4 linked regions of the Oryctolagus cuniculus genome follow. The protein of the gene in region 4 binds, or shares a complex with, the protein of the main gene of each other region. Links are inferred from orthologs where the notes say so. Each region holds a gene or a part of one and is shown on either strand. Other genes may lie near its edges. The genes, in order: PHAX, NCBP3, PPARGC1B and NCBP1.

Evidence for each region.
Region 1: the proteins of NCBP1 (region 4) and PHAX are in contact, whole or in part, in a cryo-EM structure (PDB 8PNT), measured with the Homo sapiens proteins. The link is inferred for Oryctolagus cuniculus from reciprocal best matches to the Homo sapiens genes NCBP1 and PHAX. Residues at the interface, in NP_002477.1 of Homo sapiens: Cys380, Lys381, Pro384, Pro388, Gln389, Leu391, Ala392, Thr395, Phe417, His420, Leu421, Asn423, Phe424, Gln425, Arg427, Trp428, Ser429, Asp432; in NP_115553.2 of Homo sapiens: Ile114, Asn115, Asn116, Ile117, Trp118, Gly119, Val121, Leu122, Glu124, Gln125.
Region 2: the proteins of NCBP1 (region 4) and NCBP3 are in contact, whole or in part, in a cryo-EM structure (PDB 8BY6), measured with the Homo sapiens proteins. The link is inferred for Oryctolagus cuniculus from reciprocal best matches to the Homo sapiens genes NCBP1 and NCBP3. Residues at the interface, in NP_002477.1 of Homo sapiens: Lys330, Ile377, Glu378, Cys380, Lys381, Pro384, Pro388, Gln389, Ala392, His420, Asn423, Phe424, Gln425, Arg427, Trp428, Ser429, Glu431, Asp432; in NP_001107590.1 of Homo sapiens: Glu572, Asp574, Glu576, Leu577, Gln578, Ala580, Trp581, Gly582, Leu584, Ile585, Lys588, Glu589, Arg592.
Region 3: the proteins of NCBP1 (region 4) and PPARGC1B are in contact, whole or in part, in a crystal structure (PDB 6D0Y), measured with the Homo sapiens proteins. The link is inferred for Oryctolagus cuniculus from reciprocal best matches to the Homo sapiens genes NCBP1 and PPARGC1B. Residues at the interface, in NP_002477.1 of Homo sapiens: Glu26, Asp29, His30, Ser33, Leu34, Lys37, Val38, Lys41, Ser42, Ala43, Cys44, Asn49, Gly52, Leu53, Val56; in NP_573570.3 of Homo sapiens: Tyr1006, Glu1007, Ala1008, Met1009, Asp1010, Phe1011, Asp1012, Leu1014, Leu1015, Lys1016, Glu1017, Ala1018, Gln1019.

The regions. Positions count from the first base shown.
Region 1 is NC_091437.1:15,870,775-15,876,760, reverse strand, and holds the start of PHAX (phosphorylated adapter RNA export protein), read right to left. Parts: upstream 3,768-5,986; 5' UTR 3,705-3,767; coding exon 3,609-3,704; intron 1,725-3,608; coding exon 1,111-1,724; intron 1-1,110. UniProt on the Homo sapiens protein: A phosphoprotein adapter involved in the XPO1-mediated U snRNA export from the nucleus.
Region 2 is NC_091448.1:49,102,833-49,108,022, forward strand, and holds part of NCBP3 (nuclear cap-binding protein subunit 3), read right to left. Parts: intron 3,216-5,190; coding exon 3,110-3,215; intron 1-3,109. UniProt on the Homo sapiens protein: Associates with NCBP1/CBP80 to form an alternative cap-binding complex (CBC) which plays a key role in mRNA export. NCBP3 serves as adapter protein linking the capped RNAs (m7GpppG-capped RNA) to NCBP1/CBP80.
Region 3 is NC_091437.1:37,173,333-37,179,274, reverse strand, and holds the end of PPARGC1B (peroxisome proliferator-activated receptor gamma coactivator 1-beta), read right to left. Parts: intron 4,905-5,942; coding exon 4,753-4,904; intron 3,872-4,752; coding exon 3,771-3,871; 3' UTR 1,446-3,770; downstream 1-1,445. UniProt on the Homo sapiens protein: Plays a role of stimulator of transcription factors and nuclear receptors activities. Activates transcriptional activity of estrogen receptor alpha, nuclear respiratory factor 1 (NRF1) and glucocorticoid receptor in the presence of glucocorticoids.
Region 4 is NC_091432.1:201,440,982-201,446,171, reverse strand, and holds part of NCBP1 (nuclear cap-binding protein subunit 1), read right to left. Parts: intron 3,112-5,190; coding exon 2,955-3,111; intron 679-2,954; coding exon 571-678; intron 1-570. UniProt on the Homo sapiens protein: Component of the cap-binding complex (CBC), which binds cotranscriptionally to the 5'-cap of pre-mRNAs and is involved in various processes such as pre-mRNA splicing, translation regulation, nonsense-mediated mRNA decay, RNA-mediated gene silencing (RNAi) by microRNAs (miRNAs) and mRNA export.

The sequences.
Region 1 (5,986 bases), on a different chromosome or scaffold from region 4:
ACTCAGTGAAATAAGCCAGGCATGTGACCATAGTCTGTGAAATTTCACATACTATGAAATGCCCAGAAAAGGCACGTTTATATGAGGTATAGATGAGGAGTCACGTAGGAATAAGGACAGGGGTTCACAACTGTGCACGGGCACATGGACACAACGAGTGGCTGGTGTAGTGGCCCAGGAGGTTAAGCCACGCTCAGTACACCTGCACTGGAGTGCCTGGGATTGTGTCCTGCCTCAGCTTCCGATCCAGTTTCCCACTTATGTGCACCCTGGGAAGGAAGCAGACGATGTTTCAAGTGCTTGGATCCATGCTGTCCATATAGGAGACCAGCATGGAGTCCCTGGGTTCTGGCTTTGGCCTGACCCTGTCCTGGCTGTTAAAGATCATTATGGAGTGACCCAGCAATATCTGTCTCTCTCTTTCAAATAAACAAATAAACCCAAAAAGAAAAAAAAAAGTGTTGGTGATGGTTGTACAGCTTGATAAATTTGCTGAAAAAGCCCAACACTTGAGATGAGTGAATAGTATACGTAAAATAATCCTCAAGAGCTAGTTTACAAAGTCACAAGTGCTTGAAAACTCTAGAGAGAGACATAATTTAAAAAGATGCCCTGGGGGCAGGCACTTCGTGTGCGCGTGCACATGCTGCTTGGGATGTGTGCATCCCGTATCAGCGCGCGCATTCAGGCCTTGGCTCTGCATCTGATCCAGCTTCTTGTGACCGTGCACCATGGCAGACAGAAGGCACCATGTCGCAAACCTGGACGGAGTGCTAGGCTCCTGGCTTTGGCCTGCTCCAGAAAATAACAACAAGTCAATACACAGAATTCAAAAAAAGTGCCATATAAGAGCTTTATGGCACAAAATGCAAAGAGTTACTTAAAGTTTTAGAAGTCTGCAAGATTATCCTCTCAGTCTTGTTCAAATTTAAAACACAAATGTACTGACATAACCAAATAATCACAGAGTTCTTTAAGCAAAATAACCAAGTAATTAAAATTCAAGGCAACATTGCTAATGCGTTTGCCATCATGAATGCACACTGAGTTTCCAACAACAGAACAGAGCTGGGTCGAGCGTGCATTGGTAGGCCCGAGTTAGCTGCTCACCTGTAAGCGATTTCATCGGCCACCTTCTCCTGAGAATCCTCCTCCGTGATCTCGTACCGGCCTTTGTAGTTCATCTCCAGCCTGGCTCCCACTCTGTCTCTGACGGGCCGCTTCCGCTTGAGATGCCCTTGCCCGTTTTCCTCGTCCTTCGACCCCCCCTTTGTGCCACCATGCATGTAGTCGTCTAGCTCCTTGTCTACATCTTTTGCGTGCTCCTGAGATTCCCTCCTGAGTTTCTTAGCCAGCAGGTAATTGTAGGTCTCTGACTGCCTGCTTCTGTCAATCGTGCCCTCCATTCCCAAGATGCCCAGTTCAGTGGCCACGGCGTCCTGGTTCTGCTCCTGCAGCACGGCGCCCCAGATGTTGTTAACCTTCTTTCCTCCGGCGGCGGGGGGCTTCTGACTACTCTGGTCAAACTGGAAGGGCTCTGGCTTGGGAGGCAGGCTCAAACACTTCTGTCGCTTGCGCTTCCAAAGAGAGCTCTCATCATCTGAATCAGAAAAGCTCTCTTCACTTGAATCCACACTTTTAACAGTCCGGTAATGTGACGCGGGTGCACCCGCTGCTGTGGGACTCTGCAAGCCCCTCGCGGCACTGCCCCCTACTAGAACTTTCTGCAAGCAAGAGGAGACACGGTCAGTTCCACAAAACACATTCCGCCATGTATTCCACCCGCCATGTGCTGCTTAAAAAAATAAAGAGCGAGGGAGAGAGAGACTCAACTGGACTATTCTAGAACAAAATTGTCTTCAAAAACATCTCTGAAACCAATGCTTATGGAATTTGCCAAATATAAAGCTAAAAAACCTGGCATGGGCGTTGTGAAGTGCAATGATTAAGCTGTTATCTTGGACACCTCACATCCCGTATCTGAGTGCCTACTTTGAGTCTTGGCTGCTCCACTTCTGATCCAGGTCCCCGCTAATATACTGGAAGGACAGCAGAAGATGGCCGAAGTCCTCGGGCCCCTCCTACCCATGTGGGTGACCTGGGTGGGATTCTGGGCTCCTGCCATCAGCCTGGCCCCACCCTGGTTATTGGGGGCATTTGAGGAGTGAACCAGTAGATCAAAGATGTGTCTCTCTGCTTTTTAAATAAATAAATGAATCTTGGAAGAAAAAAGGCTACGCATTCTTATTTCTACAGCTAATGCAGCATTTAATTCTAAGGTCTCTTAAGAAATTAGCAGAGCTCTCAGTTCTCACTTTCAGAAGATTTCGTCTTTTCCATTATTGTCAGAATGCCTGGGAATGTCACACGCAATTTGCTACTGGCAGTTAGAACTGTTTTCTTTCTTTCCACAGATACCCGCCTTGCTGTACACACACCAACTTCCTCCATAAGGTTCAATGATTGTTTCCCTTTGGATTAGAAGGCAAACTCCTACCGGGAGGAACCCGTGATATCACTTTTTTTTTTTTTTTTAAGATTTATTTATTGAAAGCCAGACGTATTGAGAGAGATCTTCCAAGCAGGAGCTTCATCCGGGTCTCCCACATACGTGCAGGGCTCAAGCACCTGGGCCGTCTTCTGCTGTTTTCCCAGGTGCCTTAGCAGGGAGCTGGATCCGAAGTGGAGCAGGCAGGACTCAAACTGACGCCAATACAGGATGCCCGCGTGGCAGGCAGGGAGTTTACCCAGTACCTTGTCCCCCTAACAATCCTAAAACTGCAGAGTTCATGACGCCAGTTTACCAAGTCACGGAGCAATTTAGGTAAAACCACTGAGAACAAATTGTGTCGGAATTAACTCCCAGGGCATTTATATGCAAAAGGAGTCACCTGTGCTTTAAAAAAAAAAAAAATAACTACCGCCACATAACAACTTCACAACCCCCTGGCGTCCAAGGTGGGGTTCTGCAGTGTAGTCTACACCGAGTGAGCTGCGAATCAGAGCTCTGAGCAGATCCAGCACCTCAAACTTCTGTGCGCGGTGAAACACCGCACACCCCGTCTCCAGCTGCTTGGAAGCACACAATGCACGGAGCTCCAGAACTCACGCTCCCTCGGCACCCGGGACTCGACACGAACTCCGCGTGCGCCGGGCTCCCGCGAGCGCCAGCAGCCGGGCCGGCGGCGGCCGAGTCCCGCAGGAGTCCGTCCCCGCGTCTAGGGCGACGTCGGCCGAGTCGCTGCGTGCGGGCCGCGCCCCCGCCCCGCACGACCACCGCGTCCGCGGCGCGACGCCCGGGGGACGCAGGCGGGCCGGACGGCGGGGGACCCCGGCGGCCCCGCAAGACAAAGCCGGGCGGGCGGGCGGGCTCTGCGGGCCACGGTCCCCTCACCCCGCGGGGCCCGGATGAGCAGCGCGGGCTGCTCCAGGCCGACGGCCCCGGGTCTCGGCCCTTCCGGGACAACGGAGCGACGCCAGGCCGGGGACGCCGCTGGGTTTTTACACCACGACCAGCGGCCTGGCAGGCGGAGTCGCCGCCGCTGCACGCCCGCCTCCAGGCTGGCGGCCCGGGCTCCGCGCGCCCCCCGGCCGCCCTCCGCACTCACCGGCACTGGCAGCGGCCTGTCGCTGGGCGCGACCATCATGTCGGAGTCCGAGTCGGAGAGCTGCCCATCTTCCATGTCGCCCGCGTCCAGCGCCATCTTCCCGCGGCGCGCGCTCGGGAGAGCACTTCCGGCGGCGCGGCGGCCGCTCGGGCGCCCCCGCGCGGGAGCCGGCGGCGCGGCAGCTGGCGTGAAGGCCGGGGCGCGGGGCTCCCGCCTGCGAGCCCGTCCTCGCCGTGTGTGCGGGGGCGGCGGCCCGGGGGTCCCGGCGTGGCCTGGCTGCCCCGGGCAGGTGCACCCGGAAGGAGGCGTCGCCCCTCGAGGCCCGGGTGCGGCTGCCCCGGGCAGGTGCACCCGGAAGGAGGCGTCGCCCCTCGAGGCCCGGGTGCCCGCGCACCGCCGCACCTCCCTGGTGAGCGGTGCTGCTGAGTATCTTCTACCCGCTGTTTGGCATGTGCGTGTGTCCTTCGTGTTGAACGTCGGAATTTTTCCCTTTTCACTGAATTATAAGCATGGCATCCCTGCTCTGGAGACCCCTTGTTGAACATCTGATCTGATTGGAGTTGTACCCTGCTCCCTCCGTGTCTGTGGCTCGCTCTCACATCTGATCAGTGTCCTTTGAGGAGCCATGATGCAAAGTCTCCTTTATGGGTGGTTTCCTTGTGTGCGTTTTGTGTCCCAGGGGCACAGAATAGCCCAGTGCTTTTCAACCTGGGGCTGTTTCCTTCTGCAGGGGACGTCTGGCGTCGTCTGGAGATCTTTTCAGTTGCTGTGCGTTGGGGGTGATGCTGACACGGGGGGCCAGGCCAGGGTTGCACCTCAGCATCCTATAATGCACACAACAGCGCCCCGCAACGAAGATGCTCTCCTGTGTTTTCTCTCGAAGTTTTCACGTTTTTGGGTCTGTGGTCTGTTTTGAGTTAATTACTATATACGGCTTGCAATAAGAGTCAAGAATCTGGATTTGTGTGCGTGTGTGTGTATGTGTAACTGTCCAATTAGTAGACCACTGTTTGTTGAAAAGACTACTTTTTCCTCTTTGAATTTCCTGTGCTCTCTATTCTGCTCCGCTGATCTTTATGCCTGTTTTACACCAACCAATGTGATGCTTGATTACTGTAGATTTAAAATAATGTTAAAGTTATACGGGTTTTTTTGGAAAAAATATCTTAGCTATTCCAGATTCTTTGCAATTCCTTTTTAAATTTCTAACCTGGTGCACCACAATGCTGGCCCTTTTTTTTTCTTTTCTTTCTTTCTTCTTTTTTTTAAAAAATATTTATGTGTGTGTTCATTTTACGGAGGCAGAGGGATGGAAGAAGGGAGAGACAAAGAGGTCTTCCATCCACTGGCTCACTCTCCAAATGGCTGCAGTGGCTGGGGCGGGTCCAGGCCAGGAAGCCAGGAGCCAGGAGCTTCTTACGGGTCTACCAGATGAGTGGCAAGAGCCCAAGCACTTGGGCCATCTTCTGCTGCCTTCCCCAGCGGATTAGCAGGGAGCTCGATTGGAAGTGGTGCCCGTGAGGGGTCTGGCATTGGGCAGCGATTTAACCCACTGTGTGACAGTGCCGGCCCCAGGCATCACACATTGTCAAGGAGCAGTTCTCATGATGCTGGGCTCCTTGACAACCAGATGGGCAGTTGGTGTCTTGGCCAGAGTCCAGCAGTTTGCAGGATGACTTGGGAGGCCGTCTCTGCAGGTAATTTCCCTGTGAAACAGGAGCCCAGCCTTCTGCTGTAGAATCATTTTTTGTGAGCCTGGTAGTACAAGTTTTCCCAGGACAATAGTGTCATTGACTGATGTGGTGTGAATTTTCCCTCCAGATGTTTGTGGGTTGGAGGCATGGTCCTAGTGTGGCAATATGGGAGGCAGTGGCTTACTGGGGAGATCCTTGGGTCATGGGGGTGTGGCTCTCAGGAGGGAATATCGGTATGTTCTTAGACTTGTATATATAAATCATATGGAATCAGTTGAAAATCAATTAAAATTGAGCCCAGTGCTGTGGCGTAGCAGATAAAGCTGCTGTCTGAATTACTGGCATCCCGTATGGGCGCTGGTTCCGTCCTGATGTAGTAGGATTCGTGTACCAAGACAAGACACCAAGGGCTCTTAATGGGAAAGTAGTCTTTTATTATGCTGGCATAAGGCCCGAGTGGAATTTCTTATCCAAAAGCCTTGAACAAAGTTTTCTCTTATAAATGGTTTTAGCCTTGTTGTCTCCCTTATAAGGTCACCTACATACATTTGATTGGATAGTTTAATATTACGTGGCAGCCACGAGATTGATACAGTATTGCCCATGGGAATGTAGTTACTGAAGATTTGTTTTTCCCACACCCACACTGAGCTGTAAGCTGTCTGGCAAGGGTTAACCATCATT
Region 2 (5,190 bases), on a different chromosome or scaffold from region 4:
AATCTCTAAAAGTGGCAGGGAAGCAAAGAAGCACCTTAAAGTCTTGAGAAGGACTAATCTACTGATTTTCATAGAGGAGGAAAAGGGAAATCTGACCACAGATTAAAAGCTTACACTAAGTCTCTGAAATAAAAAATAGCTTATTAGACAGAATATGTGATCTCTTAAGAAACCAGTCTTTCCCTTAGGAAATGACATGAGCTGTGTAAGAAAGGCACACTAACCTCGTTTCTTTCCTGACAGGATTACTAGGCCAAGAAATTCAAGGAATACCATAGATGGTGCTCTTGCTCTAGTTTCTCATGACAATAAAATGAAAAGACTTATAATTAATGCATCTATGTTCGCGGCATGATTACAGCCAGACGCTGTTCAACATTCACCGACAACTGGCTGAAGTCGAAGCCATGCGGACCAAGGCAGAGAGGACACAAAGGCAGGAGGGCATAGCACTGAAGGGCAGAAGTAACACGAACGCTAACTCAACAGACTAAACACGCACACTTTCAATTCACAAGATGTAATGAAACTGCGGTAAATAAAAAAGGATTTTCTAAAGGTGCCTCAAATACAAGTTGTTTTGCTGGGTGCAATTCCTGGGAGAAAAGAGCTGACCAGACAAAGAGTATCCCGCCATGACCTGGCCAGGACCGAGACAGCACTACCAGTCCTGCCATACTCTCCAAGAATCCAGGCCTGTCTGGAATCAACACCTCACCTGATGAAGGTCATTTGGAAACTGAAAAGGGTCCAGAGAAGAGAGATCAGAAAGCTGTGTCATATAAAGGAAGCGTAGGGACGCCAGTAAGCCCATGCTTTCATTACATGAAGGCTACATTGTGTGGCTCAAAGGGCCACACAATAACTAACAACCAATAACTAGAAGACAATGCTTCTTCAACACAAGGAAGAATCCAAAACCAAAGCTGCCTGTCTTGTAAACAGTTCTCAGTGCTATCACTAGGAAACATTTAAGCAGACGCCAAAGGACCAACAGGAACTTTGGGAAAAGGCCTGCAGCCCTGGGCTTGGGAGCTTGGTCTGGATGACCTTTAAGGTGCCTTCCATCCCTGAGACCCTTGATGTTGGGGACAAGACAGAAGGAGTTTGACATCAAATCATCCAAAAGAAGCAAGTCACTCTTGGGACAGAACAGTGTAGTGTAGCGCATCCCAAAGCATGGTCCCCAGTGCTGGCAGCCTGGGTGGGAACACAGGCTTTAGCCAGGCCAATCCTTCAGTCCAGCCTTGCTCCTAACCTAGCTGTAGAACTCTGGGCAAGCATCTTAACCTCTCAGGTAAAACACAAATGCTAAGTGCATTCCCTCATAAGGTTATTGAAAGGATAAGTTAACTTCTGGCAGAGTGACCAGCATTTAACAAACGTTATTTTTTATTAGTAGTAGTATTGGTATTGGTATTGGTATTGATATTGGTATTCATAGTAGGAATGAACAACTTGTCACCTGGAGGAAGCAAGATGCTGTTTCCAACTTCTCCATTCTCCCAAGAGGCTGCTCACTTAGTAAATGACAATAACATTTACTGAGCACCTCCTACATGCCAAGCACCACTCTAACAACTTAACGTTTTGTCACCGCTGGGAGCAGCCAGGATGAGAACCTGCACTCCAACATGGGATACAGGTGTCCCAAGCAGCATCTTAACCTGCTGCACCAAATACCCAACCCTGGGCTCAAACACCGCTTCATGTTTACTAGCTGAGCGACCGTGGGCATTTCATTAAATGAATGTGTTCTAGCTTTTTTGTGTAAAATGGGGATAAAAATATATACCTCATAGAGTTGTGGGAAACAATAAACAAATGCAACACGTGCTTGACAAGTACTTGGTAAGAAAGCAAGTTCCCAAGAAATAGTAACTATTCCCGATTCTTCCTTTCACTCAACATGGTGCTGAGCTTCTGCTCCCATCAGCCAAGCACGGCTGGAGAAGCTCGCACACACAGACCTTCCATGCACATTCAGAGGCTGCCATGGAGCCCTTAAAAAAAAAAGCCAAACTGAGTGCAGGCTTCGTGGCACGGTGGGTTCATCCATATCAGAGTGCTCACTCAAGTCTAAGCTGCTCTGCTTCCCAGCCACAGTCCTGCTAGTGTACCCAGGAAGGCAGCGGAAGCATGTGTCCCTGCCACCCACGTGCAACGTGCGGATGACAGGTTCTGGGTTTTGGTCTGGCCCAGCTCCAGCTGCTGCAGGCATTTGGGAACTGACTCAGCAAATGGAAGATCTTTCTCGCTCGCTCTCTCTCTCTGCCTTTCAAATAAATAATTAAACCCCCAACCCCCCCCAACACATACAAACTTACAAATACAACACAGGGGGGCCTTCTGCATTCAAATATTTATATTAGAGTGGAATAATAAATAAGGACATAGGCTCACTAAGAGTACTAATTTTCCCTCTATCTGTACACTGCTTTGGAAGACTGGAACAGATTGCTGTACCAGTTGAGAATTTCTAATCTAAAAACCTGAAACATGAAAGGCTCCAAAACCAAACCCTTCTTGAAGATTTTTATTTATTTTCATCTACTTGAAAGGGAGAAAGACAGAAAGCACTTTTCCATCTGCTAGTTCACTCCTTCAATGCCCATAAAAGCTGGGGCTTGGCCAGGCGGAAGCCAGGAGCTCAGAACTTAATCCTGGTCTCCCACATGGGTGGAAGGGACCCAAGTACTTGAGCCACCACCTGCTGTCTCCCATGGCATGCAGCAGCAGGAAACTGAAATCAAACTGACACTCCAATATGGGATGCGAGTGTCTCAAGCAGTAGCTTAACCACTGCACCAAACACCCGCCCCCAAAACCAGAACTTCTTGAACATGATGGAAAATCATATACCTGATTTCATGTGACAGGTCACAGTCAAAACAAAGGTGCATTAAAAATACTGCATAAAATTACTTTCAGGCTGTGTGTACTTCAGAAAGTTAATAGAAAATGGAGTTAAAAGATAAGTTTATTTTGGTGCAACCATGAACTTTTAGAAGATTCCTCATATAAAGCAAGGTTAGATGCATGAGGCAATGGCAGGGAAAAGTCACTCCCTGGGTTAACGTGCACAGATTCCCCCAGAAACACCTTGTACCTTTCTTCATCATGTCTCGGTCCAAGGCGACGTTTCTCTGGGCAAGATTGACTTCTGATCGAAAATGGAAACGCCTGGCTCGCTGTTCTTTCTTCTCAATTGCTTCCTAGAAAGTATAGAAAAAGTCAAGGAAGTGAAACATGGAAAAGGAAAGTTAAATTATCACATGAATCGGCGGCAACTCCAAAACACATCAGGGGTCAGGCACTTGGCCCGTCAGCGAGGAGTGAGGAGTGCCTGAGTTCAACGCCAGCTCTGGGTGCTGACGGCAGCTTCCTATCCGTGCAGACCCTAAGAGGCAGCAGCGATGGCTCAGACAACTGCACTCCTGCACTGAGCTCCTGCTGCCACCTTGGGCCCAGGCAGCTCATCACTGGCATGTGAGGAGTGAACCAGAAGATGGGAACTCTCTTATTCCCTCTCACTAATTTAAACACAAAAATAAATCTGAAATACTGAAACTGAACAGTTTTATAGAACACTGGATTTCATAGTCTATGGTGTGGGAGGGCCCACGTGAACACTGCTGTATACTGTAATACTCTGCATTCTATCACAGCCTATCGCTGTGGCTGGGACACAGGAGGAATTCAGCAAGCATTTGCTGATTGAACGAATAGTGCTGTCCAGTTCCTGAACTATTAGCAATGATGCCAACAAATCACAGCTACACAACCTCAACATTCCAATTCCCCGGGTACAGAACTGAGGCCCAAGTCAGAAGGCTGGAGGTGCCTGCTCACGTTAAGGGGGACAAGCTTCTGATTCTAGGGCTATTTCTAGGAGCCTCTCCCCATCACCACCACTTCCATCATCTGTGGGCACAGTAATCACACCTGGCACACTCCGCCACGTTACATCCGCCCAAGCAGTCCCCGCCCTAAAGCTAGATCCTCGTTTAAAAATAACTCTGATGCAAAGACACACTCTCCACTCTTCCAGCCTGTGTCCCCGGAATTGCCAGTTTTCACCTTTAAGTGACAAGAAGCACTGATGCCTCACTGGAAAAATCATCTACGTTGTGAGTTTCTCCCAACACCTAAGATAAATCCAGGTCCAACTGCCCGCCTCTAGTGGCTCTTAAGAACCCTGCACTAAGAAAACATTTTCATTTCATTCTACTTCCACAGCTGTCTAAAAGATGATCAGTTCTCTTTCTTTTGGCCTTTCAGAAGTGTAATTTAAAATTCTGTGCCAAACTTAATTACACACATTAAAATCAGAAAGAATATCTAAATTGGCTATCAGTGCTTAAAACAAATATGTATTAGCTATTTATAACAAAAATCATGGGTTTGAGCAGCATTCAGTGGAAGAAAGGTAATACTCTCAGGTACCGGGTGGCTTGGCTCTTAAAGTTTAGATTGTGGGGCCCGCGTTGTGGCATGGCGGGTAGAGCCGCCACTTGCAAGGCTGGCATCCCATGTGAGCACTGGTTGGAATTCCGGTCCCTTCACTTCCGACACAGCTCCATGCTAATGTGCCTGGAAAAGCAGCGAGGGATGGCCCAAGTCCTTGGGCCCCTGCACCCATGTAGGAGACCTAGAAGAAAATCCTGGCTCCTGGCTTCAGACTGGCCCCGCCCTGGTCCTTGCAGCCATTTAGGGAGTGAACCAACAGACTGAAGATCTCTCTCTCTCTCAAAATCTACCTTTCAAAGAAATAAATCTTTATGAAAAAAATAATAAAGTCAAGTTTAGATCACCACAGTCAGAAAACCTGTTTTTCAAGTCTGTGACCCATGAAGAATGAAGACATTTACTAAGCACCTACCACGTGCCAGGCACTTTTCATGTTTTCTTTCATTTAAAGTAGAAGAGATACATATTTTCTAAGAAGAGACACAGCTCAAAAAAAAGCATTCTCGGTACAAAGCTTTTTCTTGGAAATGGTTAAGCGCAGGCATCTAAGTACAGTGATTTTGATCTTTTTGTGGATGAGGAACACAAAAACGCTGCCTGGACACTTTCAGGATGCATGAGGGCATCACTGACGGTATCACACAGTTTCCCTCAGGTTTAATGCACTGACAAAAGAAAAGGAGGAGGTTAAAAATATTCACTGTTTTGCAGGTCCTAGGG
Region 3 (5,942 bases), on a different chromosome or scaffold from region 4:
TCGGGACCCACTTTAATGTATTGCTTCCTGCTGCCCCAGGGGAAGGACTGAGAGGGACCCTCTTCCTTGACCAATGAACCCACTAGATTCACCTTATCTGTGATCACTATACAACCAATTTCTTTCCTTGGTCACATCTGATGCTGGGGTTCAGGTTCCCCCAAACTGAGGGCAGCTGCTACATCTCAAATCTTGCTAATGCGGAGTCAGGGTGACAACACATCCCCTGGGGTTGATTTGCCCCATTTCTCAAGCTGCAGGCTCGGCTCCAAGTTCAGCGGCACTCAAGGCCTGGGATGGGCCACGGCTGGAGCAGTCCCTGCAGAAGCCCTGGGCCTTCAATGCCTGCCACGCCTCCCCACCCATCACCTGCGCTGCATGCATCCAGGAGAAATCGCTCTCATAACACCAACGAACTCAGGCCTCAGGCCCTGCAAGGCACCTTGCTGCACCTCCTCTCACTTCCCGGGTCAGAGCTTTGTGCACCGAGTTTCTCCTCCTCGGAGCCCTGCTCTCCCCTCCCCTCCCGGAAGCCCCGCCTCTTTCCTGAGCATGTAACACTCGAAGCTGCAAGATCTCCAGGCAGACGCAGACACCACACAGGTGCTTTCTGACTCCAAGCAGTTTTCTGGTTGGGGACAAGGTGCGCTGTGGGGAGAGGGGGCGGGGCCCTTAGCTGCACTCCATCCACTCATATTCTTTACCTCTTTGATGCATTTTCCTTCGGTAACCAGAGCCCCCGAGAGCGAGGACTCTGATTCAGCCTGGTACCGACTGAGGAAGGAGATGGAAGAATTCCACATAGCGGTTGGATTGGACATTTTTGGAAAACACCAGCAGGGCACACAGAGACGGTAGGAGCTGCCCTGCGTGGGCAGCTTCAGCACAGGCCGGGGGAAGCTTTGATGGCGAGCACACGTAAACACCATCGAGAGCAGACATGAGGACCAAGCTATGATGAGATGCTTGCCAGCAGCGGCTGCTCCCTCTGGATCGCTCCTGAATGTGGTGGGAAAGAGAGCAAGGTGGGCTCGTTTTCCTGAAAGACCTTGGCGCGCCCTTGGGGATGACACACAGCACTGAGTGACTCTTCGGGACAGAGGTCGTCCACAGTGGTCAGCTCTGGAGCTTGTAGCCTTTCACGGCTGGGACAGCAAGCCAAGGCTATCGTCAGCTTCCGACCCCACACTCGGGCTCTGCTATCTAAGCTCAAGGGCCAACGTCTAAATATCTTCCAGTCTCCATGTACCCCGACGCGGTGGGTGGGCTGGTCCTTCCTTCAAATCTGCATTTCATGACCAGAAAGTGCCACCAGCCCCAGACAGAACCTGTGGCCAGTGCCAGAGGAGGCGGCCAACAGAGGGGCTCAGAGAAGATGCCGATGACTCCTTTCAGCACAGAGGTGCCGGCGGGGGGACGGGCCCCCTCCAAGTAACAGGGAATTCTTGCTGGGGTCACAACTTGGATGCTAGTGCTCATTCTCGTTCCCAGGTGAAGGCGGAGGTCACTCCCTGATGCACACCAGGACGTAGCGGAGGCAGCAGCAAGACTGAAATTCTATCCCACCCCACAAACCTGTCTAATGTGCCTACTATGTGCTAGGCAGTGAAGAGCTATAAAGGAACTTAGAACGACCAGGTCTGTACCGTGGAAAGTCCCTTTTTTGGTCCATCTGGATAAACCCTGTCTTCACCAAAGCTGTTCCTGCCTGCTCTTCCGCTCCCCCGTCCCGCCCTGCCTGAGAAGGGCTGTGTGTCACAGGGCACGGGGAGTCCCAGGCCCAGAATGGCTTTAGGGGTGTTTTCTCTCCTAGATTGGGACACGACAGACGGGGAAGGGTTGGCATAAAACCCAGGCAGCATAAAAGGTTCTGTGTTGACTGATCGGAACCTCTCACAGCTTAGACCAGGATGTGTGGTTGATTAAACTCTGGCCAGTTAGTAATGGCAGCCCAGAGCACTGTGTTGTGGCCTCTTAATAACACATCTGGGGTCAAAGAACATGAGTGCTGTGTTAGATTAGTTATATCTGCATTGGCCAAGAACAGGGCAGTGGTGGTGCCTGTACTTCGTATGTGCCACCCTGAGCTAGACGCTGCCTTAGCAGAAGCTGAGACTGCTGGAAATGGCTGAACTCTCCCTCTCACTTCACTTTATCAGGGGTCCAGAAAGGTCAAACGACTTGACACACACAGGAGCTCAAATTCTCTGATCCTGCTAAAGCCTGTGCCCTCCAGCCTTACCGAGGGACTGAAAGCACGCTCACCTTCAGGACAAGGTCATGGGCTCAGTTTACCTAGAGGTATTTGATAATCTGAAAAAGAAAAAAAAAAAAAAAAAAAAAAAAACTACCAATTCTCAAGGGACTAGGTCAAGACTAATGAACCACTTTCAAGCATTTTGAAAGTAGCAGGACCCCTAAAAAACAAAACAAAACCTTCCCAAAGACCCCTGCTGAATGAAGGGGATCAAGGAGGAGATGCTGGCGGGCAGCAGGGGTGCCCACCTTGCCCGGCCACTGCCGCCCTCAACAAAGGCCCCGCAGAACATCCAGCTGGGTGTGGCTCTCACATTGTTCAAGAACCAAGCCTCAGGTCAAGTTCAGACAGAATGTTTCCCAGTGGTGGAGACTGTCACCTCCATCCCTAGCCTCACACTGCCTCCTGGCTCTACTCTACTCCACTCCACCAAAACAACTCTACACGTGAGGACCAGGTAAAGACAACAGCCTCACAACAGGGAGAGGAGGGGCCGGCGACTGGCCCCAGAGGGACGACAGCCATTGCCAGGTGCATCACAACCCACTGACGGCGCATTGCCCACAGGCAGAGGCAAACCACAGGACCACTGGGCTCAGAGCTGACGGTGTGCACAGCACGTGTGCCACGCCTGGAATGTGGCTGGCAACATGACTCAGCTGTGGTCTGGATGCCCCAAATGCTGGGAATCAGGAGGTCTGGTCTGGGTCACTGGCCACGGGATCCCAGACAAGCCGCTTGTACCCTCTGGGCACAGCCTTGCTTCTCCTAGACAATGGGCACAGTGCAGCTGGCCTGGCCCTCTTTACAAGGTACGGGAGGGGCTGAGAGCGAACAGATGGGCACATGCCAGAAGGGGCCGCTGGACACAAGATGGGGAAGACCCAGAAAGCTGTCTGTGCTGCTCCTTGTGGGGCCGGAGGCCACACAGCCCCTCCAGGGCAGCCTGGGAAGGGAAGCAGAGCAGCTCAGCGGCAAACATCTTAGGACAGTGCATAGTTAAAACTCAAGGAAGCGATACAATAATCCCAGGCACAGCACATCTGAGCCATAAATACAGTATTTGAAGGATATACTTTGTTCTTTTTTTTTTTTTTTCAATTAAAAACGAGTTGATAGTCCTGATTCTATTCACAAGTAACAAGTTCATCATCACACACTACAGACAAACAGTGTTATGGCGAACACAGCTGCAAGGCTACGCAGGGATGAGGGGGCACAGGGTGACCGACCCAGCACGGGAGGCGCGCGCCCGGACAACCCGTGGGAAGCGAGGACACCAACATGGCAGTGGAACATCAACACCATGGGGACTCACGGACAGAAGCAGCTTTGTTCAATGTAAACATTGATCTTGTTCTGAAAAGGACAGCAAGTTCAAGTCTCTCTTCCGTGTGTACTCTCACGCTCGCTCGCGCTCTCCTCCTCGGCGACCTCACTTCTTTGAAAACGTAAACATATTGGAAGGGCCTTGTCTGAGGTATTGAGGTATTCCTCGAAGGGTAAGGCTTGATCAGTGCAGGCTCTGCTGGGCCTCCTTCAGCAAGCTGTCAAAATCCATGGCTTCGTACTTGCTTTTCACGGGCGTGGGGAGGGCCTCTTCAGAATTGGAATCTGGCGGGGGGGGGGGGTGGAGGAGCCAGGGAGAGGGGAAGGCGGTGAGCGACTGACGGAGCCCGCAGCACCGGGCCACCTGCCTCTGAGCTCGGGCTGTGGCCCGAGGCCCCAGAGCAGGGATGAGTACCGAGAGCACCGACCGCCCTTCTGCCTTGACAGCTCTGCCAGTGCACCTACGCTTTGGGCCCTGGTTGTTCTGTTTGTAGAGCAAGGCAGGGCCTGAGCTGGGGCACCCCGAGCTCCTTTCCAGCTCCAGAACCTTAGAGCCTGCTGCTGACTCACACATGGGAAGGCTAACAAAACTGGCATCTCTGTCTGGCATACATAGGGAAACTGAGGCCCACAGGTGCACCTGCAGCCGAGCGCAGCACCGCCTGGTGAGAACCCACTGAGATCTGCTGCTACCAGCCTTGGAGCCCGCAGGCCACACTGTGCTCATCCCAACGAGTGATTGTTTCCTACATTCTGCTTCTTTGTCCTGGGCCAACTTGTCCACAGCTGGCAAGGGCCCACCACTGGTACTGTTCCACTGTGGCCCCCCCATAGACACGGCTGCACTTTGTCAAGGGGTCACCAGGGAACACCTCTCAAGAGGGCAGGGTAGCAGGTGGCCCCGCTAGGTCAGAGACAGCAGCCATGGCTCTGCCAACCAGCTGTGAACACAGGGTGGCCCTCTCCCCACAGGCCTCGGGAAGCTGGGCTACTGCTTCTTGGTGGCAGCCAAGGGACAGGACAAAATGGACCAAAGGCTGGAAGAAAAGGAAGATGGGAGCCCCCAGGCCAAGAGGCTGCTGGGGCAGCTGGGGGCCCGGGGAGGGGAAGCGCGTCCAGGAGGGGCCTTGGGTCTCGCCAGCTGGAGCCGGACCTCAGGCACTTACCATAGTCGGTGTACCTGGGCCAGCGGAAGTGCTGGAGCCCTCCGTAACTCAGCTGGAAGGAGGGCTCGTGGCGCTGCAGCCCCGCGCCGTTCCTCAGAGACAGGGCCGCGTGCTCGGAACACCGGAAGGTGACGTAGCCGCACTTCTCGCCTCTAGGGGAGAAGGCAAGGGAGAGCATTCCCAGGGCGCTGCCCGACCGCCCAGCACCACACAAGGAGCAGAGAGCCACGCGGACTCCGCGCCCACGTCACGTAGCCCCCAGGCTGACCGCTGCAGTGGCAGTAACAAAAGTCGCAAACCTGTGCGGACACAGCCTCACACTGTCTTAGATGACCCTGGGAGGTGGCTACTGTCATTACCTCCACCCATGGTCGAGCCTGAATTCAGACCCAGGCCTTCCAGGACGTTAAAGCCGACGCTCCGAACAGACTCCCATAACTCTTTTCTGTGCACTTGCCCTGCCAACTGCCCGTTCCCACCATCACATGACCCTGCACCCTGCAAACCTGGCCCCAGGCACCACCTCCACGGCTGCCGCTGTGGTCTGCACTGCGTCCACCATGGCCGGTATTCGCTAACATCACCTTCCTCCTGCCTGCTTGGCTTCCAGCCCCCTTCCTCGGACAAAAGCATCGGTTAGCCAACCAGGCTCAGGGGGCCGGGGGAAGTCCCAGGAAGGTGGCTCTCCCTGGATACAGTGGTTGGTTCAAGGGTGAGCTGTCACTCAAAACCAACCCCCAGAGAACTCAGCCCAGATCTTTGCTGGAACTGTGAGGGCGACGCCTGCTTGCCCTGGGGTCTCTAGGTTGGTGGGAGGTAAGCTTAGCACTGGAGGCAGCCACTCTGCAAAAAGGAGGAAAGTCGGCCTGGAAAGGCTTCCAGAGCAAGGGGGCCCTAAACTCAGGTCCACTCTGACATTCTGCTTCGCGAACAAGAGGAAGAATCCAAAGGGCAGAGACGAAGGGGCCGTTCCCTGCAGCTCTGTAGGCATCTAATAAACATTCAAGGGCATCCCATTCCCAACACCCTGCTGAACCCAGGCCAAGTTGAAACTCTTCTGCCTCTTCAGATGCCTGCAACTGGTAGTGTGTATAAGGCTCCTTCTGGAAGATCTTGCATAATGAATTGGGACTGGCAGTGTGGTATAGTGGTCACGTCGCTGCTTGCAATGTGGCATCCCCTATCAGAGT
Region 4 (5,190 bases):
GAAATCCTATGGAAGCTATTTAACAGGGCTTAAGAATGACATCTGGGTGCCAGCACTGTGGCACAGTGGGTTAAACCGCTGCCTGTGGCACAGCATCCCATATGGGTGCCAATTCAAGTCCCGGCTACTTCACTTCCAATCCAGCTCTCTGCCATAGCCTGGAAAAGCAGTGGAGGATGGCCCAATCCTTGGGCCCCTGCGCCCACATGGGAGACCTGGAGGAAGCTATAGGCTGCTGGCTTTGGATCAGCCCAGCTCTGGTTGTTGCTCCATTTGGGGAGTGAACTAGCAGATGGAAGACACCTCTCCACCTCTCTGTAAGTCCGCCTTTCAAATTTTTTTTTTTTTTAAAGAATGACATCTGGCCAATCCAGAGCATGTCTGCACACACAGTTCTGATCTTCCTAGGCATAATCACTGGGGTTAATACACCGATGTCAGGAAAACCCACCAGTAACTCAGCTACTAACTTTCAGGTATCAAGAATTTATACTGTGATCTTTTATTGCCATTGTATTAACACATTCCTGGTGCTAAACGGATGAAATTCAACACAAGCGGTTCTCTCACCTGAGGCACATCTTCTTCCTGAGTTACACTTACAAAATTTTCAAACATAGCAACCATTGATGGGGCAGCAATCACATGACAATTCACAAGATCAGACAAAAAACGGACCTGTGGGGGCAAGCAATTCCTGCTATTACATCTGAATGTTCAAAATAAACAACAGAAACGATCTAAACCAAGGGTTTGAAAAACCGTAGCCCAAGGGCAGCATCAAGCGTACTCTGTTTTTGTACAGCCTGTGGACCAACAAAGCTTTCAGGTTTTAAATTCTTGGGGGGGGTGGGGGTGGGAAAGAGTATTTTCTAACACAAATTACTTGAAACCCAAATTTCAGCACCCAGTTAATTTTTACTGGAAGATAGTCATGCTCAGTTATACACTGTCCATGGTAGCTTTAGTGCTACAATGGCAGAGCTGAGTAGCTGTGAGAGAGACCACATGAAGAACAGAAAACCTGAGCTCACAGGTTCCCATGCTACACGACACTAAGAGCTCAGCCTGTAAATATCTTAGTGACATCACCTACAAAGTCCTTTCCCATTTGGCTATAATTTTCCTGAACCATAATAATGGAAAATCTGTTTAATTTATTGGGTGCCCTTTGTGGCCACTGGTAAGCACTTCTAAAGTTCCTGTTACAGGTAAGATCCTGGCAGGCACATTCTCACACAAAGGGATGAGTCCTCTACTGAGAGGCAAATCAAAGTGCTATAAGAACAGTGACAGAGTGAGTAGGGTCAGCATCATAAAGGCAGTAACTAGCTTAGGTCCTAACAGGTACATACCCCTCAAGCAGTGAGCAGAGAGGGCAAACTAGGGAGCAGGTAATTTTGACACAGCGGAGAGTGTAGGAGGTACGAAGAAACAGATCAGGGCAACCACTAAGGGTCCAGCTAGAGTCTGGACCTCAGTCTTATAGCCTGATGAGGGTCCAGACTCTGACAGTATACTTCATAAAAAGAATCTGATCCCTTATCTCCAACACAGGTATATTTACAATATATACTGGATCACTACCAATTTATGTTTTAGACATTAAGGCTTAATTCCATTTATAATAAATGAGTTCTAATATTTACTTTCTGCAACCCAGTCAATCACCTTTTCCCCAGGATTTATGATCACTGAGGACAATGGGAAGGAATTGGGGTTTTAGACACCAACCACCATGAGCTGAACACAAAGAACACTTTGGTGTCACTGCAGAAAGACTGAAAGAAAATTTAGATGTGAAAAAATTAAAGAGATCTTATGAACACGAGGAGGAAGGTGTGAAGTACACTGGTAGCCCTTGAGATAGAGAAGGAACAAATATGAGAGAAATTTAGGAGGCAGAACTGTAGGCTGCAAACAACTCAAAAGACAAAAGGAAGACAAAAGTTAACACTCAGGTTTCTGGGTGGGTCACCAAGTAGACAGTGGCCACTGTGAGTTGAGGAGATAAAAAGGAAATGTGACTGACATTAATTTAAGGATTTCCAGGTAAGGTTATCTTAGAGCTTTGCAGGGAACATTTGAAATACAGGTCTGGTACTTATGAGAAAGTTTGAAACTGGAGAAACACTTTCAGATTTGGGGGCAGCATCAAAACAAAGGTGGTTTATGAAGCTAGCAGAGTGTTTAAAGGAAGATGACCCAGTAAAAGATGAGGAATAGAAGGGAGGTGGCAGCTGGCGCCGCGGGTTCTAGTCCCGGTTGGTGCGCCGGGTTCTGTCCTGGTTGCTGTGGCCCGGGAAGGCAGTGGAGAATGGCCCAGGTGCTTGGGCCCCTGCATCCGCATGGGAGACCAGGAGGAAGCACCTGGTTCCTGGCTTCGGATTGGTGCAGCACGCCGGCTGTAGCAGCCATCTGGGGGGTAAACCAATGGAAGGAAGACCTTTCTCTGTCTCTCTCACTAACTCTGCCTATTAACAAAAAAAAAAAAAAAAAAAAAAAAAAAAGGAGGTGGCAGGTGATACAGGGAAACCAGCTAGGATTCCGAGTGAAAAAAGACCCTGGATTTGGTATTGAGCTCTGTGGTGCCTTTAATGAGAACGGTTTTAAAAGAGCAGTTGTTAGGGTCAATAGGAGACTGACTCTCAAGAGAAAAGACACAGTATTTAGTTAGTGCTTACCTTTTTCCTCCATACCAACACTAAGTCATGATATACAGAAATAAAAAGTTAAGGGTGGTGCTCGCTCCAGCAGCTAAGACACAGGTCAGGATACCAGCATCCACATCAGAATGCCTGGGCTCCTGCCACCCACATGGGAAACCTGGACCGAGTTCCTGGCTCCAGGTTTGGGCCTCCCGCCCCAGCCATCATGGGCATTTGTGAACTGAACCAGCCAATGGGAGCTCCGTTTCTCAAATAAACTTCAAAATTATAGAAATAAAAACTTACCAAATACACAGCTTCATTATAATTGTTTGCTTTCAATGATTCTTTAAGTTGACGAATCATAGCTTCTACAAATTCTCCACCAAAGTTGTAATTCCTGGCATTCAGCAGTCCAACCAACGTTGTATAAATTGTCAACTTCTCAGGTAACAGACGTGCACTGATTTGAGAACCAGTACAACAGGAAACCCCCAAAACAATGGCATTATATTAATTTGCTGAATTTCATATAAATGTTTCATCATTCATTACTTTTGGAATAGGATCACCATTATGTTTGTAAAACTATTCCATAAAAAGCTTATGTGTCCATAAGAAGAGCTGCAGACATGGATTCCCAATTTTTTCACTTTAATTCTAGTTAATTAAAAAGTTAGGAAAGACTGGGGCTGGCGCTGTGGCAGAGGGTTGAAGCTCCGGTCTGCAGCATCGGCATCCCATATGGGCGCAGGTTCATGTCCCCGCTGCTCTGCTTCCGATCCAGCTCTCTACTGTGGCCTGGGAAGGCAGTAGAAGTTGGCCCAAGTGCTTGGGCCCCTGCACCCATATGGGAGACCTGGAGGAAGCTCCTGGTTGGCTTCGGGTCGGCCAATTGGAGAGTTGACCAGCGGATGGAAGACCTCTCTCTCTCTCTTTGCCTCTCTGTAACTATTTCTCAAATATATAAAATCTTTAAAGAAAAATTAGAAAACGGTTTAATTGTGAAGTTATTTCACCACTGAAATAAATACCACAGCTCACGCTAGACCAGTTTTTCTTCAAGTATGTTGAGTAGAATCAAATAGCAGCTCCCCAGACATGACTTCCATGGTAAAATACAAGATTCTGGGTACAACAAGTTTCTTTAATGCAAAATCATTAAGAGGGTGGGGGAGTGGCACATGGCACAGCACTGAGTTTTAAAACTTAACTAACCAAATGTCATGGGACCCATTCCACTTTGAGAAACACTATTCTAGCCACTTATAAAAGATGCAGAATAAAACCAATTTCAACTAATTTCCTATCACTTAAACTGTTGAAATCTTAACTTGGTACTCATTGTTGATTTCATTAAAATTATTTGAAAAGTAGGAGAGAGGATTACAATAATAAACCTTTAGAAGAAGCAACTGTTGCTTCATAATTTAGGCAGCCTTTAGAAATAAGTTCAAACACTAAAGCGACTCCTGAGATAATTCAACGGGGAAGGGATTCTTATAAGTTTATAACCTTACATATTTATAAATCTAGTTAAAGGTTTTCCTAAGGTATCTAGCATTAGGGACAATTTAGGTCTTCAAAAATACTTGGACAGAAATCATACTCCCTATAAACCTCCCCAAACCTCAAATTAAAAAATAGTGCCAAGCAATACTGGTACAGCCTTAAACAAACATAGCCTCTGACAAGAGTTTAAGTATAAACACTATTCCATGCTACTAAGTGCTTTTAAAAGAGAAGGAGTTTTTTGGATAACCACAGCAAAATGATTTTTATTAGTTTTTTAAAGATATGTGTTCCTGAATATTAACTGTATTCCTCTTGAAAATTCTAAAGCAAATTAACTGTACTTTTAATAATGTGACGTTAAAATGAAACCCACTAATTGTATGTGCATTTTTTAAACTTCAAAAATTAACTGCATTAAAAAAATAACTTGGAGCCGGTACTGTGGCATGGTGGGTTTAGGGTGCCTGCAATGTGAGCATCCCATATGGTAGTGCAGTTTGAGTCCCTACTGCTCCTCTTCCAATCCATCTCCCTACAAATGCTCCTGGGAAGGCAACTGAAGACAAACCAAGTAACTGGGCCCCTGCCAGCCACATGAGCGGCTAGGATGAAGTTCTGGGCTCCTGGGTTCAGCCTGGCCCAAACTTGGCTGCTGCAGCCATTTGGGGAGTGAACCAGTGGATCGAAGATTATAGTCATCTGCCTTTCAAATAAATAAGATCTTCCAAAAGACAAAACCAAAAAACTTAAGTCACCTTCATAATTCAAAAACAGCTTACAGAGGTTATAATTTCATTTAAATTACGAAGACCCCTATTTATCCAGAAGTTAGTTCTTTGCAAGGCCAGCAATTCAGAGCAATCAATGTCTACCTGAAAGTCTAGATCATTATCTTGGTTACTGACAGACTCTTTCATAATTTCATGAGACTTTTCCCACCGTAACATCCTCACAAAATGCGGTCACCAGTATTAGCCAACCTAACTCAGAAGATTATGTCTATTAATACCTTCAAAAGCATTTTCTG